Linked DNA regions of Canis lupus familiaris. The protein of the gene in region 1 purifies or fractionates together with the protein of each later gene. This does not show direct contact. Links are inferred from orthologs where the notes say so. Each region holds a gene or a part of one and is shown in the gene's direction. Other genes may lie near its edges.

Region 1 (3,744 bases):
TGAATCCTTCAGGAGATTTTTTCTCTCTCTTTTTTAAAGATTATATTTATTTATTCATGAGAGACACACAGAGAGATGCAGAGACATAGCAGAGAGACAAACAGGATCCCTGTGGGGAGCCTAATGTGGAATTCCATCCCAAGACCCTGGGATCACAGCCTGAGCGAAAGGTAGATGCGCAACCACTAAGCCACTCAGGTGCTCTTCTTTAGGAGATTCTGATGGGCACTAAAGTTTGAGAACCACTGCCTTGGAGATTCTGAATGGGTTAGGATCCAGAAGTCTGCATCATTAATAAGCTCTCTTAAGTCATATTGCAGGAATGCAATTTGAGAATTGAGAATTGAGATTTGAACATACTTTGAAAAATGCAAGTGACTTTCCAGATGGTAAAATATGTTCATAAGGAGGAAACAGGCTAAACAATAATAGCTAAGGTCATTAATTAGGAAGCCCTTATCTGGGCCTCTGAATTTACTTGCACAGCCTATTAATTCTCACAAACAACCCATAAAGAAGAGGATGGACTCTGAAGTCAAACTGCCTGGGTTCCTATCCAGCTTGTGACTTGGTTTACCCATCTGTAAAGTGAGGATAATGGAGGTAGTTTCCTTATAGATTTGTTGTGAGGATTAAAGAAGCTTATTGATCAGCTCTTCCAATACCTGCCAGATTGGCACCACTTACATGTAGGCTATTCTCATCATCCTTAAGCGTACTTTGTTAAAAGGTGGATTTGAACCCCATCAATTTAACTCCCCAGCGTTACTTTCTTAAGGACTAAACTATAATCCAGTGTTTCTGAAAGTGTGATTCCCCCACCAGAAGCACAGCCGAGTTAGAAATGCAAATTACTAGATCTCATCCCAGATCTGCTGAAACGGAAACTCTGGGGGTGGGGCTCTCCTAAATGTCAACAAGCCCTTCAGGTGTTTCTGATGCACAATAGCTTTTGGGAACCACAGCTACAGTCTTTAGAGGTTCTGGGGAAGTGGGCATACTTTAAAAAAAAAAAAAAAAAAAAAAAAGCCTAGAGTGGCTGCGAGCAATCCCATAGTCCCTCCTACTAAGGGCGAGTAAACTCCGGTGTAGCTGCGCTGCCCAGCTCCGGCCAATTCTCCCGGTCAGCGCGCAAGGCTTTCTGGGGCTTGTAGTCCACATCCCTGCCGAGCAGGAGGCGCCTGCGCGTTGGCCGCCAACTCGCTCTAGTCGCTGTGGTCTGGGCTCGGGACCGGCTGCCATCTTAGTCGAGGGACTGAAGAGTCGCCGCCGCCCCGAGTCCCGGTAAACATTCGCGGGCGGACTGGGGGCGCTTCTGGGTAGGAGGGGGAGCCCGCAAGAGAGTGTCGGAGGAGAACCAGGGGTGAAGGAGTGCGGCGCGCGGGCAGAGGACCCTAGAGCCGCGACTGCTCTCTCCTCTCTCACAGCCGGTGCCCGTGGGGGGCGCGGGGAGCTCGGGCTAGTGGCCGAGGGGTGGGTTGGCCGGAGACGCCGAGGAGCCACTTTTTGACCGAGGCGTGGGGAGCCCCTCGCCTCGCGGGCGCCAAGTTGTGAGAGGGCTGGGCCGCGTTGGGCGCCAGCTGGGGCCGGCCCCGCGCCCCTCAGCCCCGCCCGGGGGCCACTCTCCCGCGGCCCGGCCTACGCGCGGGGCCCGGCGGCAGCGGCCGGAGCGGCCGACGTGGCCCTGTGAGGGGCGGCGGCCGGGCCCACCTGCCACTCGGCTGGCCTTCCCGAGACTTTTTGGAGCCCCCAGTCACGAGGCAGGCCCAGCGTAGCGGCTGCCTTCTCTTTCTTACACTCCCCTCCTCCCTCCATTGTCCCCCATCGTGGTGGTCCCGGCCCAGGCGCCCTTTTCCGCGCCTGCTGCCGCGGCCCCGCGGGCACCTCCCGGCGCCGAGTTTTGCAGACGTGGAGCTGTCACTGCCCTCCCTCTTGAGTGCCCTTTTCTTTGGCAGAGAAAAGAAAAAAAAGTAGTCGTGAACGTATTCTAAGGGTGAGAACGTGATGAGGACACGACTTAGTGGGGGAACTCAAGTTTTCAGACACAGTCTCGGGCCACGGCTTACAGAGAAACACAGGGTCTGTGCGCTCAAGGTGGACGTTGGGCCTAAAGTTAAAGATGTAACAAGGTGAACGTGCAAACTACCCGAAATTCACGATTCCCCAATAACAACTCAGCTTTTCTCGGTTATATGCGCATGTTAGTCTTGTTACATTTTCTGCCATAATTCTACAGCTTCAGTATACTTTTTTGGGAGTGAGGGTTGGGGAAGGAAAAGTGGGATTTTTTTGCCCTTTGGAAATTATTGAGGCACTGGAGCCAGTCACTTATCATTGCACTTAGTTGGGGGGTCTCCCGCATCTTTTCTTAATCGATTTTAGGGAAGTATGTAAAGGCAGCGGATACTAACCCTCAAAATCAGCTAAGGATTTCTCAGCTGAAATAAAGTTCTCATGGCAGCTATGCTGGAAGCCTGCACTATGTATTTATTCATAGATTTACTCGGGGTACAGTTATCAACAGAATGTAAGGTTTTTGGGTGTGAGTCCAGAAGGAATTCCTTCATGGTCAGTATATGAATCAAGTCAAAAAGGACATGAAATAAAAAATGAGTGCAGAATACGTTTTCACAGTATTCCAGAGGGAATCATTTCTGAATTCTAAAACAAAACAAAACAAAAACAAAAAACAAAAAACAAAAAAAACCCATCTGTTCGCCTATTGAAAAAGATAGACAAACCAGTAGTTCCTCAAATTGCACATTAGAATAGTTAGGGGAGCTTTTTAAAAGTAGAAATTCCAGGGTCTCCTTTTCTGACATCAATTTAGTAGGTCTGCTTTTGCCCTGAAGAATTTATTTTTAAAACATGCCTCAGGCAGCTCTCTTGGTTTTGGGAACCACTGAGGCAAACAATACTGTGAATCTACTGAGAAGCTTGAGACAGAATTGGCCAGTTCTGTCTGGGGTTTGGCTGTTGAAGGTGGCAGGACCTGCTCCTGTCCTAAGTTTGGCCTTAGATGATGAGTGGGAATGTGATAAGGATGGGGTAAGGGAAGGACAGTGCTGTATGTAAATGCAGAAGATAGTGGGAGAAAAAGGGTTCAGGGAACAGGGAGTGGGATGGGGAAGGAGAGCATTGTAGGATGTGAGGTCAGAAAGGTAAAAGGAGGTAACTGAAAAGTTATAATGCTAAAAACTGGAGTTTTATGTTAGTAGATTCAGAATTTAGACAGGGAAGTGATATGAGTGACGTGTGTTGTAGAAAAATGGCTCTGGTGATGAGAGTGAAAGGGTGGAAGAGTGGCTATTGCAGAGGTCTAGGTGAGAGGTGAAAGGACTTAATGTTGGAGAGAGGCTGTGGGGATGCTCAAGGGATTAGATTTAGTTCTTTACTAGTGCAATATTGTTGCCATATTTTTGGATGAGACTTTTTGGGGCCAGACTGGGTAAAAAGGCTCTTGTTCTGTAAAAAGAACCCATTAGCAAATCTGAACAATATTACCAGGTTATATATATTAATGGTATCAAAATATATTGTTCATTAGTACTTTTGGAAAATTAGAACTAAATTGGTTGCATTTGGAGGAGAACTTGGAGATTACACTGAAATTTATGACTTTCAACACTACTGATCTAAGCCTGTTGGAAGTGTTTTTCTCTTGTACTCAGGAACTTGGTATTAGAATTTTGGAAGAGATAATCTAGTCCACAGTGGCAAATATATTTTGGTTAATCAATTCTG
Region 2 (3,744 bases), on another chromosome or scaffold:
AAGATCAAGAAGACCAACGTCCCTGACTTCTTTTACTGCCAGAAATGCAAGGAACTGCGGCCAGAGGCCCGGCGGTTAGGGGGTACTCCCAAGTCTGGAGAGCCCTGACATCGCCGTGCCTAGGCTGGGACTTCCATGTGACAGCATGACTTGGGAGCTGAGCCTCCGGGTCTTCGGCCCGTCCCCCTGGAGCTTGGGTATTGTCCCACTGGGAGGCAGGAATTCCCACTGGAGGCTGGTTTGGAAAGGAGTGTCTCACGTTCCAACCTTATCTTTCCTTCCCGCCTTGTGGACTTGAATATGGACCTGCTGCAGTTGGGGGTGAGAGGCTGGTCCCTAGACACATAATTTCTGTTCCTTAGACCTGCCACCCTTCGCTTTCTGGGCCAGGGTTGGAATTGGGGTGGAATGGGACAGCTGGCTATAAAACTCTAGTGTAAATAGAGCACTCCCCTTCTTCATCTTTTCTTTTATCTCCCCATTTATTCTACACCGGTTGTATTTTTAATTTTGGACTTCCCCTTTTGGGCAGGGCAGCTCGGAGGTGGAGTACCAACCAGGGTCTGGCCAAGGGAGGAAGGAAAACAGGTGACGATATGTTCGCTCACCTCTTTTGTTTTTAATAATATTGGCCAGCTGTTTGTACAGACAGCCTGCGTGTTGTAAATAAAGCAGAGTGGGCTCTTTTGTGTTTATAGCCCTCCCTGACTGTCCTGCTTGGGTGGGGGCGCGGTGGAAAAGCAGAAGGCGCGGGGGGCTGAAGCCCACCTCCAGAGCAGAAAACCACCCGGCTCTGCGCGCCCCCACCCCCCAGCTCCCCAGACCCCCGCCCCCAGCCTGGCCCTCAGTCGGCTTGCTTCCACCGGGCACCCCAGCCCAGGACCCCCATCCTATCTCCCAACACGCACGCTCCAGGGAATCAGCGTTGTTTGGAGCTCTCCGCCCGAGTGGGGCCAAACGGGATGGGTACCGGTGGCCAGGCCCCCCGAAGGCCAGTGCCGGCCTCCGCCGGGGTGCTCGGAGGACGCGGGTGGGGACACATTTGGGGGCGGGGCCGTCGAGGGCTAGGAGACCGTTGCTGAAAGCAATGATCACGTGGCGCTGGCACTGGGCGGAGCCTGTAGGTCACGTGGTCGGTGGAGTCACGTGACGGAGGGCGGGCCGCCGCGGACCACGTGACATGGGGAGAGGTGGGCGGGGTGCTGCAGGGCGCCCGCGACGTCGGCGGCGGTGGCGCGCGGTGGCGGCGGCGACGGCGGCCGAGTCTGCGGCATCGGGTCGAGCCCTCCGGCCCGCCCCCTTCCCTTCCGTCGGCCGCCACCCCGCTGATCCCCGCCGCCTTCCCGCCGCGCCTTTCCGGCGCCCGGCTGATCGTGTCCGCGCTCGCGCGGCGGGGTGCGGGTGTGCGCAGGCGCGGTGGGGGCGCTTCGCCCGGTTGGGTGGGCGGCGGGACCTGGGAGCGCGCGGGCGAGACCATGGCGGGCAGCGGCGCGGGGGGCGGCGGCGTCGGGGAGACGAAGGTGATTTACCACCTGGATGAGGAGGAGACTCCCTACCTGGTGAAGATCCCGGTTCCGGCGGAGCGCATCACCCTCGGTGATTTCAAGAGCGTCCTGCAGCGGCCCGCGGGCGCTAAGTACTTTTTCAAGTCTATGGATCAGGATTTCGGGTGAGCGCGAGGCCTAGGCTGGAACCGGTGGGGGCTGCGCGGCGGTGGATCGGCCACTGCTGAGGGGCACAGGTCGGCCCTAGGCCACGCTGGGTTTTTCTGGGCTGGAGTGCTGGACAGGGCATTATGCGGGGGTTAGATTGGGCATCCCAGGTTGGGTAAGGTTACGCTTGGACAAATCGAGACGCACGGAGCTCCAGGACGACACACCGGGCCGTGCCGAACCAGATCAGGAAAGATTAGGCTGTCCTGGAATAGAATGGGGCACACTGGTTTATTTGGGAGTTATTCTGGGTAATCCGATGCCTTTCGAGCAGTCCTGCGGCCCACGGGCAGTATTGTGGAATCTCCCGATGATTGGGCCGTGTTGGGGTGCTTTAGGGCATTCTAGACCATCCTAGAGCAGATAAGATTGTTTGGGGACATCTGGCCTGTTCTGGTGCAGAAAAGGGTGTGTTGGGATGTTCTAGGCTGCTTTGGAGCAGATTACCAGGCTCTCTCGGAAGAATTTCCTGCTCTTCTGTCTCTTCTGGGTTGTGTTGGTTGATCTTAAGTTTCTGTTGGGGTCAAGTGTTTCATGGGGACGCTCTGTAGAGAGGCAGACAAGGTTTTTGAGGCTATGCCAGTGCAGACAGCTGTATTGGGATAATCTGGTCTATATTGGTATGGACGGCTGCGTGTGGAGACGTTGTAGGTCATTGCTAAAATAGCCCAATATGGCTATTCTGGAGTGTTTGGAGTCATTCTGGGCCAGACTTGGATTCTTAATAATAAATTTGCTTATGGTTTTTGAGGCTGAGTTCTCCAGGTAGCCAGCCTCAGCTCTTGAAGGCAGGCTGGATTGGCCTGAGACAGCCCATGTTCTGGGATAGCTGAATGGACTGGCTTCTACTGAGAAAGACCGTTGGCCGTGAGGAAGGTGGGACTGTGTTGGGAGTTACCTTTGATTTAGATCGAAATTCCTGTTTGTTAGCAATGATATGACCCAGGAGATAGACACAGTTGGCACAAGAAACTTCGTATAGGTAAGCGATGCACAGTAATTTTTTAGCGAGTTGTGATGATCGCTAGCGTCGAGCTCAGCTAATCTGTAAACGGGGTTATGGTGATAGAGAGTGGAATCATTTGCCGGGCTGGGCTCCGCCGGGACTGGGTTACATCTCTAAGAATCCAGCATTATATCGAGACAGAGCAGTGGTAGGGATTGGGCTGAGTGGCCCTATCGATAACAAGTGGGATTAAGTTGTCACGCATCCAGGCTCCTAGAACCATATTAGGGTAAAGGGTTAATCAGACAGGCTGTCCTAATTTGGAGGTGAGGATGTGAGTATGAGAGAGACCTTCTGTTCAATACTCAGTCTCTCAGAGCTCGTGTTTGTTCATGAGATACTTGTTCAACAAGTATACTCGTTAACAGTATTGAACAGATATTTATTAACATTCACTTTACCACCATCAGGGTCTTTGCTGTGTGGCCAGGATGCAGTGTTGAACAGAATAGGCTGTGGTGGGATCCCTGGGTGGCGCAGCGGTTTGGCGCCTGCCTTTGGCCCAGGGCGCGATCCTGGAGACCCGGGATCGAATCCCACATCAGGCTCCCGGTGCATGGAGCCTGCTTCTCCCTCTGCCTATGTCTCTGCCTCTCTCTCTCTCTCTCTCTGTGACTATCATAAATAAATAAAAATTAAAAAAAAAAAAAAAGAAAAAAGAAAAAAAAAGAATAGGCTGTGGTGATCCCACGTGGTGGTTGAGAAGAAGGGGCAAAGTCCTGTCCATCCCAAGGAACCCAGGGGAGGAATGACCCCAAGGCTGGGCTTTGAGGTCCGTCAGGCAGAACAGGTTGCTCAGTGTAGAATTTTGTGCCAGATGAGCCCCGGGGGAAGGGGAAGGTGGGCTTCACCTCTCCTTGGGAGTGCTCAGCCTAGCCAGTAGGTGTCATCCTTGGGTCTCATGGGTATATTTTCGTGGGGGAAAGGTAGCATGTTGGGCTAGGGCTTTGGACATGACTCAGAGAAAACCAAGAAAGCATGAGAATAGAGACTTTGGAGGGTTTGGGGACGGTGCCTTGAGGAGCG
Region 3 (3,744 bases), on another chromosome or scaffold:
TTGCAAGCAAAGCATAAAGACAGATACAGATTTCCCTGGGTTTATTGTGCAGTAGGTTGGTTCCCTCTTACTGATTCAATGAACTGCCTAATATAATACCGAGACTGACTCACTGCAAAGCGACCCCTGCTCTGGTTGTGAACCTGGGGGGGGGGGGAGCCCTATTATAATGGTTTCATGTATAAGAACACTCTCAAGGGGCATCTGGGTGGCTCAGTGGTTGAGCACCTGGCTTTGGCTCAGGTTGGGGTCCTGGGATCAAGTCCCACATCGGGGCTCCCTGCAGGGAGCCTGCTTCTCCCTCTGCCTGTGTCCCTGCCTCTCTCTCTCATGAATAAATAAATAAAATCATTAAAAAGAGAGAGAATACTTTCAATACATAAGAATCTTTGGAGGGAAGGGCATATACTCTTAGAGAAATCTTTTTTGCAAAGGCAAGTCTTTTTTTTTTTTTAAGCCCTAAATATGCCTTATAAATCACCAAAAACGGATGAGGATTGATGAAGCCATTTCTTCCGAAGTTTGGGGATTCTGCGTTCCATGAGGCGAGGTGAGGCGGACCCGTGCTACCTTGGCCTCGCGCTCCGGGCCGCCCCCCGCTTCTGTCCTTCTGGATGCCGGACGCGTCCAGGTGAGCTGGAGCTCGCGCTGGCCCCTACCGTCGCTAGCGGGGAAGCAGCCCGGCCGCCCCCCCCCCCCCCCCCGGAAGCCCCGGCCAGCGGCGACTCGCTCTGCGTCGTCCTTCCCCGAAGCGGAGGCTTAGACTTCTCCCACCAAGTCACCATAGCCCCTCCCCCGGCCATGCCTCCCTCCCGGGGCGGGGGTGCAGGAGAAACTTTAAAGCCGGGCTCCCCCGCGTTACCGTAGCCGGGGCTCGGGCGGCGGCTGGACTGGCCGCGGGCGGGGGGCGGCGGCGCTCCGAGCTCGGCGCGCGGGGCCACCTCCCGGCTGCCGGCCGCGGCCCCCTCCTCGCGCCCGGGACCTGCCCGCCGGGTCGCAGCCGCGCCTCCCCGGGACCCCCGGGCGCAGGCGCAGGCGCGCGCGGCCGGCCGCGGAGGCGGACCCCCGGGGGCAGGTGGGCGCGGCCGGCGGGACCGGGGCGGCGGCGGCGGCGGCGGCGGCGAGTGGTTGGGCCGGGCTCGCTTCCTCCCCTCCCCCTGGGCCTCGGGGTCCGCCCGCGGTGCCCAGTGCGCGGCGCCCGCGGCCCCGCGGCGCGTCCCCTGCCGCCGCCGCCGCCCGTCCATGTCCCTGCCCGTGGTGCTCCCGGGCTCCTGCTGCCCCGTGGCCGGCCTCTCGGGCGGGCCGCAGGCCGGGGGCCCGGGCGCCGCCGCCGCCGCCGCCGCGCAGGAGCCGCCGCTGCCCCCGCTGCGGCCGCGCTGGCCCCGGGCCGCCCTGCAGCCCCCCGCGCGGCCCCGCTGCGCCGCCGCTGCCCCCGCCCCCGCCCCCGGGGTGCTGGCCCCGCCGCCCGCGCTCTCCTCCCGCCGGGCCGCCGCCGCCGCCGCCGCCGCCGCCGCCGCCCCGGGCTCCGCGCTGCTGCCCGCTCGCCCGCTGCTGTCGCTCGGGCTGCTGCAGCTGATCCTGGGCTGCTGCATGGTGGCGCTGAGCTTCGGGGCGCTGTCGCTGAGCAGCTCCCCGCAGGTGAAGAACTCGTGCCCCTTCTGGGCCGGCTCGTCGGTGAGTGAGTCGGGGAGCGCCGCGCCCGCGCGCCCGGACGGGGCCCGGTGGGGGTGGGGGTGGGGGTGGGGGTGGGGGAGACCCGGGGCCTCTGGCGGGCGCCGCCGCGGCGGGGGCCCCTACCCCGCACGCTCCCAGCCCCCCGGTTCCCGGCCCGGGGCTGCCGTGGGGAGCGCAGCCTCTTAAAACAGTCCAAGTTTTTGGAGACGTTGAAGCCGCACCAAAAAGAAGAAGAAGGAAAAAAAAGGCCCAAAGAGAGAGTAGTTTAGGGGCGAACTGGGTTGTACCTGGACACTGTCTGTTCCTTGCAGGCTAAAGGGTTTTGTTGTTCCTGTCGAGTCCATAGGATAAACTAGATTTCCAGCTCTGGGAGATTGGACGAATGGGGGTGGATGGATGGATGGTAGGAAAGTAGGAGGAAAAAACGATTCCCCTTGGGGCCGCTTAGCATTTACTTCTGCGAAAACGTCTGGGCGGGGAGGGCAGTCATTTGACCCGTTTTGTCTCAGGAGGTAGTCACAGTGCCTGGCACATAGTAGGTGTATTTGCCCGGTGACTGAAGTGACAGCTTGACTGGGGCACGCCATTTATTTTATTCCAATTTAAGGCACACGGAAATGTGAAATGTATCGGGTAGGATGGCTTCACTCTGGGGACAAGTTCAGGAGATAATGGCAGGGTGTGTGCAAACACACTTGTACCTGGTCATTAAGGGAGGGCCCTAAACTCCCACTTGATTATTGGAGCCAGGCAGGCTGCTGTGCAGATTTTAATTCTCAAGAACCCAAAGTGTCATTATGCATGAGCTCTCCAAAGCCTCAGGAGCAGGGGACAGGTAACCAGAGATGTCTGGCCTTGCTCCCCTCCCCTCCCCCTGGACTCCAGGTGGCTACTCATCCCTGCCTCCTAAAATGTCAGAGCTTCTAAGGCACCCAACCTCTTGAGGTTTGCTGGGGGTTGAGAGACTGGGAAATATAGGTCTTTGTGGAACGATTGTGGAAGATGGGTATTTGAGAGTAACCAACCTTTTTTATGAAGTAACTAAATCTGAAAGTCTGGCGGTGCCAATAGTTGAAGATCTGTAATGAATGCATGTGCCCAATAAACATAAAATTGTCCTTTTGCAGGTCCATGCATACCCAGATTCAAGACCAGATTTTAAGAATATAGGGGCAACTCAGGGATCCCTGGGTGGCTCAGCAGTTTAGCCCCTGCCTTTGGCCCAGGGAGTGATCCTCGAGTCCCGGGATGGAGTCCCGTGTCGGGTTCCCAGCATGGAGCCTGCTTCTGCCTCTCTCTCTCTCTCTCTCTCTCTCTCTCTCATGAATAAATGAATTTAAAAAATAATTAAAAAAAATAAGAATATAGGGTTAACTAACTGAACCCAAAGTAATTGTTTGAATAAGAACATCGAGAACATTAGGTGCAGTGAGCCCAGCCTGGTGTTTTATACTTAAACAGAGGCCAATTTGCTTTCCTTTTGAAATCCTCTGACCTGGATGGTCTTACTGTGGAATAGCCCATGCTGTGATAACTGGAGTCCACACTCTGTACATCATGTAAGAGGAATCCCACCCTCCTTGGCCCTGGTACCGGGCTCTTCCCAGGGCCTCCTGGAGTCTTTTTTTTAAACAGGGTAGGGTTTAGATTCATTATGCTCCCTAGTCCACTCGTCAGACCAAATTCAGCCAAATGGTGGGTGCATTTCATTTCTCTAAATACCGTGGGTCGGACGTGAGTCTTGGATACATTTGTAGGGATTTCCTCTTTATAAAATCATAATCTCTCGTCCTCTCAAAGATTGCTAGTTTAGGATTATTTAAAATTATTTTTTTCTCTTCTGAAATCGAAACCCTCAAATCAGTGTATGACTGAATTATTTCAGAGGCAAATACACTTAGATGTCAGTCAATAAAGAGTTGGATTTGGTGAAATATATATATGTATACACACACACACACACACACACACACACATTCTTACATACAGCCATCAGTCAGAAGATGAAGACTGTTCCTGGACCTGCTGGCTGGGCGTGGCCTTGTATTCTAGGATCCAGCAAAACAGAGC

The links.
Region 2: the proteins of ITCH (region 1) and DVL2 purify together in Homo sapiens (affinity purification with western blotting; 4 studies listed by BioGRID and IntAct, with this or other methods). This does not show direct contact. The link is inferred for Canis lupus familiaris from reciprocal best matches to the Homo sapiens genes ITCH and DVL2.
Region 3: the proteins of ITCH (region 1) and FAM189A2 purify together in Homo sapiens (co-immunoprecipitation; 3 studies listed by BioGRID and IntAct, counting the BioPlex papers as one, with this or other methods). This does not show direct contact. The link is inferred for Canis lupus familiaris from reciprocal best matches to the Homo sapiens genes ITCH and ENTREP1.

Annotation. Positions count from the first base shown.
Region 1 is NC_049245.1:23,988,990-23,992,733, forward strand, and holds the start of ITCH (E3 ubiquitin-protein ligase Itchy homolog), read left to right. Parts: upstream 1-1,160; 5' UTR 1,161-1,284; intron 1,285-3,744. UniProt on the Homo sapiens protein: Acts as an Acts as an E3 ubiquitin-protein ligase which accepts ubiquitin from an E2 ubiquitin-conjugating enzyme in the form of a thioester and then directly transfers the ubiquitin to targeted substrates.
Region 2 is NC_049226.1:32,406,480-32,410,223, reverse strand, and holds the start of DVL2 (segment polarity protein dishevelled homolog DVL-2), read left to right. Parts: upstream 1-1,432; 5' UTR 1,433-1,475; coding exon 1,476-1,669; intron 1,670-1,757; exon of another isoform or gene 1,758-2,694; intron 2,695-3,370; exon of another isoform or gene 3,371-3,744. Other genes in the region: PHF23 (PHD finger protein 23), read left to right, coding at 1-108.
Region 3 is NC_049222.1:88,739,536-88,743,279, reverse strand, and holds the start of FAM189A2 (protein FAM189A2), read left to right. Parts: upstream 1-1,242; coding exon 1,243-1,674; intron 1,675-3,744. UniProt on the Homo sapiens protein: Functions as an activator of the E3 ubiquitin protein ligase ITCH in the ubiquitination of the CXCL12-activated CXCR4 receptor. Thereby, triggers CXCR4 endocytosis and desensitization, negatively regulating the CXCL12/CXCR4 signaling pathway.